Linked DNA regions of Danio rerio. The protein of the gene in region 2 purifies or fractionates together with the protein of the main gene of each other region. This does not show direct contact. Links are inferred from orthologs where the notes say so. Each region holds a gene or a part of one and is shown on either strand. Other genes may lie near its edges.

Region 1 (3,658 bases), on a different chromosome or scaffold from region 2:
CACACAATGTGTGTCAGAGGCATAAATGTAATATTTATTGAGTATATTAATGCGGTGAATGTCACATATGAGCAAAATGGTCTAATTGAGTAACAGGTTTGGACATTAGTGACCTCTTTAGATGAGACTGACATCATAGTGACGAAATAAGCTCTTGTTATGAGAGTTCATACTAAAATGCTTTGCAGAAATTATTTGAACATACAAATGGACTTGATTTGGATTGGGTTAGTGAAAAAATGTAATGTATTGTTTATTTTTAGACAATCAACTAAACAATGGGTTGGAGATGTAAAAATAAAACCAATATATCAAGATATTAAGACAATATAAACATAGAAGAATAAACAAAATGACAACAGAAAAAAATAATAATTTGACTAAAATAATAATAAAAAATTAAAATGTAGTTAAAATTAAAGAATAATTTAAATAATAATACATTTAAAAAGATAAATAATTAATGACTTAAATTAGTGAAAAAAACTATAAATAAATATTAAGAAAAAAATAAAAACAAAGAAATTAGGTAGGATAATAAAAAAAACTACAAAGGATTTTAATAAGAAAAATATATATGTTAAAAATAATGACAAACAGAAAAATGAAAAAATTTACAACAAATAATAATATGACTAAAATAATAATACAAAAAACAAAACAAAAATTCACAAAAGACTGGGAGACACAAAAAATAAGATGAGTATTAAAGAATAATAGAAATATATAATATAAACTAATGGTTTGGATTAGAAAAAACAAACAAACAAACAAACAAACAAACAGTAAATAAATTAGGAAAAAACAATAAAAGCTAAAATTAAGTTGGATAAGAAAAAAACAACAAAAGGATTTGAATAAGAAAATTATATAGGTTACAAACAATGAGACACACAAACTTCAAATAATATGACAAAAATAATAATACAAACAAATCATGAAAAAAAAGAGACTGGGATGCACAAAAAAGTGAGATGTAAATGAAAGAATAATAGAAAAATAATTAAATTAATGGCTTGGATTAGAAAAAAAACAAACAATAGAGTGGTCCCCCTCATTAATCGCAGGTGTTGCATTCTAAAAATAGCCCACAGTAGAAGTAGTCAGCTTTATTTTTTACAATTATTATAAACGTTAAGGCCTTCCTCTGCCTTTTGGGTGCTACCCCATGTGACTTTGAAGATGTAGAACGTTTCGTCGACATTGAGGGGAGAAAACTTGCAAACAGACAGTACAGCACTTCAGAGTCACACTGCTAGCGATCAAAGATTTATGTCAATTTGGCAAGCTGAACGTATTCTGTACTGCATAGGAGACATAGCACGGAAGATTGATTGACAATGGTCTACAGACAATCAGGACGCAGAACACAATGTGCTGTAAAAAAAAAAGCATGTCAAAATTGCACTTAAAAAAATCTGCGAGGCCGCAAAAGGTGAACTGCGTTATAGCGAGGCACGACTGTAAATTAGAAAAACTATTAAAACTAAAATTAAGTTGTTTAATAAAAAAATAAAAGAATATAAAACCAAATAGTTTGGTGTACCAAAAATAGACAAAAAAACAAACAAACTAAAAATGTATAAAAATAGACAAAGAAAAACCAGGATGAAAAGTAAATAAAAAGATACAATGACTAAAATAATAAACAAAACTATTAAATGCAAAAACAACCCACAATAACCCCTAGAAAATCATAATGGATTCAAGCAACGCAAGATAACGAAATCTCGAGCACAAACCAATGCGTTTCTTACCTTCTTCCTCTTTAGGGTCAAGCTGGGTGACTTTGACCTGCAGCTTGTCCACTCTCTCTCCCAGAGTAGTGACCCGATCAGCAAACTTGCTGGCTTGAACAAACAGCTCGCCGAACACATCCTCCGCATACTTGCCTGTGATTGAATGACAGGTTAAAAACAGCACAAATGATTTTCCCTCAGCATTTACTCCATTAGACAAACACTCACTGAGCGATCCAAGCTGGCGAATGATGTTTGCAAGTGTGATGTTGGTCACACACTCCAGTTCACTCTTGATCGTGTTTGGCAGCGTTTGGCGACAGAGGTGCCGCGGTTCGATGTTTCGCGTCACCAAAGGCATGATGGGAGATTATTTGTCTCCTACCTCCTCGAGAAAAACAGAAATCACACAAGATGCATTACAAATAATGTCGCTAGATCATCTAAAACACACTCTTTAATTATTTTGAAGCATGTTTACAACACTTATGGGTCTTACGAGTCTTTAACTCTTGTGTATTGCTCAAATCGACTACAGTTTCGTTATGTTGGTGGCTGTTTTTGCCTGTATGACTTCCATAATGAAGACATTTTTTTTGACTGCAAAGCCATGACAGCATATAATCATGCATTCTTGATTGTTAAGGGTTTTCCCAGTTGGGAAGAGGTAAAATGTGTCATTTGTACAGTCGATCATCAGTTGGCAGCATTAACCCTTTAGACTGGCCTTTGCAAAAAAGTTTCTAGCTTTTATATGGAGTAAAACAGCAGATTATAGTGTGCATGAATACTCTTGCTATGTTTACTATGTTCTGAGAGCTCAGCTGCTTATTTTGATTTTCTCAGCCATATCAAGATAAGTGTGCAAAGGTCTCTCATACACTCGCGCAGACATGCTATACATAATACAAACAGTAAAAATGTCAAATTTGACCTCTTCCCAACAGGGAAATACCAGTAACAATCAAGAATGCATGACTATTTGGTGTCATGGCTTTGCAATTAAAAAATGTGATTATAGTGGAAGTCAATGGGGCAAAAACAGCCCCCATCATAATGAAAAGGTAGTCAATTTGCCTAGAGAGTATTAAAGGTTTTTGCAGGTTTCTTTAAGTCAAATTTAAAGACCCTTTTAAGACCAGTATGAATGAAATTTTAGACTTTTACAGGGCAAAACACTAAGACTTTTTTCTAATGGCCAGGTTACTTTTATATTACCTCTAAAAAGTTTATGTATTGATAGAAGACCATGTAAATGGATGTGGTGCTTTAGTTTTTCCCCTAAATAGGGAATTTAATCAGGAGAATTTGATGTAAAAAGTCTAACAGATGTTGTAAATTGTATATTTTTTGCATAAAAAAGTTTAATATAAAAAAAGGTTTTGAGATGGATAATTGGTGATTTGATGTTAGCCTGATTGGGTGGCTTTACTTTTAAAGCAGTAGATTTAAGACAACAATACAATATTTAATTGAATTTAAGACATTTTAAGGCCTTAAATTTAGCTTTTAAAATTCAAGACATTTTAAGACTTTAAGACCCGCGGAAACTCTGGTATTGATGAGTTTTTGAAAAATGTCCCAGCATCTTCCCAAAGTATGTCAAAATAAGATCTGTCTCCAAAAATCATTCCATTTGCTGAAACACGGAGAAACTAGTAGTCAAATTAAGACTCAAAATCACCCCAGAGTGGTTGATGAAAACATCCCCAACAGCACACAAGGGTTAAAGCAGAACCAAAACTGCTGCAGCTGTTTCTTTGACCAAAATACAACAACCTCTAGTCTAAATTCATGCATGCAACTGCACTTCTTGCCTTAGCTCAATTGGAAAATAAAACTACACCAAATGAGTCAAAGACGGTGTCTGTCTGCCTCAGATTAAACTCAAGAAAGTGATTTTACATGCATAAAAACAA
Region 2 (4,215 bases):
TTCATGTAATTTATTGTTTTCTAATGCATCCCATTCCTTTTGCCACTTGTTTAAAATGCAAGCGTTGATAAAAGGTTTCATCTCTGATGGAGGAATTTGGCATTTGATCACTACTTGCTTCAAAGCATCTTTAGCAGCTGCATCAGCTCGCTCATTGCCTGAAAGTCCAACATGTCCTGGAACCCAGCAAAAAATGATGTGATAAAACTGATTTTGTGCTAACCTTGGATTAAAAATAGTAGATATTCTGACTTAGTAATATTAATATAATATAGCAATATTGGCATTATAGTATACTGATTATTTTTAAATATCTAGGTAACAACAACAACTTTTTCCCCATTGAACACAATATATTTCAATATTTTGGAACAGTAAATATGTCAAAATAATTAAAATAAATCATTGATTCTTCATTCGTTTCAAAAGCACAGATTTCTTTACTTGAAAATGCATCTTTGAATATCTTTCTTTTCATTGGATATAAATAAGGCAGTGAAAAACACTGTTCGGGTCCAAAGCATGCTTGGATGAAGTTACAAGTCTTTAACAAGTAAAAAATCTGTATATATATTGCAGGAACGATATAACAGAAAAGATTTGCGGTTTAGAAAAAAAACTGACTTTTTCAAACCACAGTAAACCTTGAAAACGGTTATCATCCCATCCCTATTATGTGCTTTTTTTAAATCATAAAACATCATTAGCTTAAATATAGGATAATAAAACGCAAGTAGTCTTCATGTGAAGAGCATTATTTGTATGCTGTGCTGCCTATATGTAGTGAGCTCCAGATGGTGGCATAGTTTAGTTACCCATATAGACATTCATTGATCACACTGAACAGAGAATTCCATGTCCAAATACACAATTTACAAGAGCACAGGATGGAAAATGTGACAGAAGGTCTGCTTCAATGACATTCTCATTACTCTTGTTCCTTCACAACTCTGTTCTAAAATCCCATAATGTAAATATTTAAAAACTGGCCCTTGCTATTAAAAAAAATATTGCTCCTAACAAACTCCTAAGTGAGAGTTTGCATACATCAGTGCTGAGAATCACAAAAACTGCTTTTGGATATAAGTCAAAAGATGAAGGCATAGAAATTGCTTTACAATTATGTAAAGTATATAATGTATGAGCAGATGTGCAAAGAATATTGTGAATATTACAGGAAAAAATGGAGGCTACAAAATAAAGTTTACTTTCTATAATTAACAATTTGCTTAATTCATTTGCATTAAGTTTGTATGCTTGGGTTTAATGTCATCACAGCTTCTATCTGCATTTTTATGTTTAGAAAAAGTGTACAGGAGATATAGATTAAATTAAGATTTTACCATTGAATTTTTAAAAAAAATCTAAAACAGACAAAAAGATTTGCATGGCTCTTCAGTCACCCATAAAAAAAACATAATTGAGCAATTCCAGAATCATGGATGTGACAATTGTAGTAAAAACTCAAACCATAAATTCACATAGAAAGTATATGTTAACATAATATCGAAACATCTGTTTATATTTTCCAAAACAACTAACCACAGCGTTATGGGAACAGAAAAATATCAATCTGTAAATACATTTTAAATTTTAAAAGAAGAAAATAAACATGCATTAAATGTTAACATGCAAAAAAAGTCAGCAGAGTTTACAGTATAACATACTACTACTAACTGTACAACCCAAAAGAAGTAATGTTAATCAAAGAGATAAGAGTTGGCTCAGTATGAAACAAAAATTATTGATTTCATTTTATTTGACATTTTTGAGAGAAAAGCTTTATTATGGATAAGATGCCTCTCCGTTATGGATGTGACAGATGTAAAATTGCTACTTGTGTGACTTTGGTAAATCAAATATAATAGTTTGAAAACATTGACAGAGACATTTCTGAGTATTTTTAAAGTACTGTAAAATACTTACACAAAAAAAAATGTAGAAACTGTATGTCTATTTTGGTAAAAACCTATTTTTTATGGGAAGGTTGATATTTGCATGGAATTGCTCAATTATCCAGCACTTAAAGAAATTGCTTTGAAATTTATACTAATCCAAAAACATGATATGCTACTAACCATCATGTCAAAAACACTATCACCCCAGTATTGATTGCACCAAAACAGTTATGATTGCAATGTACCAAAAAGCATATAAAATACGAATTATTTACAGATTACAAACTGACTGAAATTTTAGACAAAAATAAAAACAAAAAATAATCTAAAGGTAATGTTTAGACTTACAATATGCTTCAAACAGCATGTCAAGATTTCACTTCAAAGTGGTTACAATCAGCTAAGTGTCGTCTATTTTCACAATATAGGTCTACGTTTACAAGACTAAATGATTTGAATTTTATCCGCGTTGTTTTGAACAGTGCTGTCAGCTGCTTCACTCGCATTCATTATTGACAGAGCAAAGTTTCCCCAATGATCATGTAACTTGAATACTACCTACCTACACGCTCAAATCACTGCACACAGAAGTTCAAGCCCTCCAAAAGTAGCCACCGCTTAGTTTAAAGCCTCACCTACGAGTGTCATAAACTTTTATAGTTAATCTGAACACGGACAAGCCGCGGTTGTTTGTACGTACTTAGCGCTGAGCCTCAACAGATGATCAACAACCACCGCACACACATACACACACTTCCAGCCTCCCCAACTCCACAAACACATACAATGCGTACTCCTTCGCCGCTCACCTGTACGTAGTTACTTTCGCAGTACTCGGCGACTCTGTCAAGGTTGGTGAAACTGTCCAACAACGCTCTGCGACCCGCTGGAATTTCCTCCTCCAGCAGCATCTGCAGCTCCGCCATCTTTACATCTCCCTCTCTCTCCCTCCACGCGCAACTAGCGACAGGAAGTACCGCCGCTTCACCTCCCCGTTGAGTTTGGGGAAAGCAGGGAAGCGCGTCTACCAATCCTACTATGGCGAAAAGTTGAAATATAATATAATATAATATAATATAATATAATATAATATAATATAATGTAATGTAATGTAATGTAATATAATATAATATGATAAAATATAATATAATATTATATAATATAATATAATTAATATAATATAATATAATATAATATAATATAATATAATATAATATAATATAATTAATATAATATAATTAATATAATATAATATAATATAATATAATATAATATAATATAATATAATATAATATAATATAATTAATATAATATAATATAATATTAGGATTATTATACATCATGCAATCAAAAATGGCTGATCACTCAAATTACTTTTGTTGCTTGTTTAAACTACTTATTTAAAATAAGTTGAAACAACACAATTCTTAAGTTGTTTTTGGGACAACCTAATTATTTTATGTTGAACCTACTTAAATTTGAGAAAACAATTAAGTTGATGTGATCAATTTGTTGTGGAACTATGAAGCATGCTCAATAAACTCATTTCATTCTGATTAATAGTGCTGATTTTTAAGGTCTTTAGCTCATCAAGTTGCATTTGTTTGTTCAAAAGAGAGTGAAAAGATAAATATTATATCAATATAAAGGTGTCAATAGTGAAAACTTTGTTTTAAAATGTAATTTATTTGTTTGATTTGATCATTATTTACAATGTCACATGATCTGTTAGAAAACAAACATCCAAACAATTTGATGAATGTTTTTGCAGATCAACATTTTCATTTATTTGTATTTTATATAGATGTTCAAAAATTACAAAAGAACATCATCTATCTATCTATCTATCTATCTATCTATCTATCTATCTATCTATCTATCTATCTATCTATCTATCTATCTATCTGTCTGTCTGTCTGTCTGTCTGTCTGTCTGTCTGTCTGTCTGTCTGTCTGTCTGTCTGTCCGTCCGTCCGTCCGTCCGTCCGTCCGTCCGTCCGTCCGTCCATCCATCCATCCATCCATCCATCCATCCATCCAGTCTGTCTGTCTGTCTGAAATGTATTATCATCATTATGGTCATGGTTTACACCTCTCTCTCTCTCTCTCTCTCTCTCTCTCTCTCTCTCTCTCTCTCTCTCTCTCTCTCTCTCTCTCAATTCCATTTAATGTTGTCAGTGGCTTTGGTGTATTTCTCACATTATTTACATTTGCAAAACGGTTGATACATTTCTCAAAACAATTATTACAAACTGCAAAACCTATTTGATAACCTGCAAAAGTAAGTCACTTGCTCAAAATGGATAGCTCATTCCCCA

The links.
Region 1: the proteins of abi2a (region 2) and wasf2 purify together in Homo sapiens (affinity purification with mass spectrometry; 3 studies listed by BioGRID and IntAct, counting the BioPlex papers as one, with this or other methods). This does not show direct contact. The link is inferred for Danio rerio from reciprocal best matches to the Homo sapiens genes ABI2 and WASF2.

The regions. Positions count from the first base shown.
Region 1 is NC_133194.1:46,359,998-46,363,655, reverse strand, and holds part of wasf2 (actin-binding protein WASF2), read right to left. Parts: intron 2,128-3,658; exon of another isoform or gene 2,125-2,127; 5' UTR 2,101-2,124; coding exon 1,968-2,100; intron 1,893-1,967; coding exon 1,758-1,892; intron 1-1,757. UniProt on the Homo sapiens protein: Downstream effector molecule involved in the transmission of signals from tyrosine kinase receptors and small GTPases to the actin cytoskeleton. Promotes formation of actin filaments. Part of the WAVE complex that regulates lamellipodia formation.
Region 2 is NC_133184.1:13,879,009-13,883,223, reverse strand, and holds the start of abi2a (abl interactor 2a), read right to left. Parts: upstream 2,825-4,215; coding exon 2,708-2,824; intron 1-2,707. UniProt on the Homo sapiens protein: Regulator of actin cytoskeleton dynamics underlying cell motility and adhesion. Functions as a component of the WAVE complex, which activates actin nucleating machinery Arp2/3 to drive lamellipodia formation.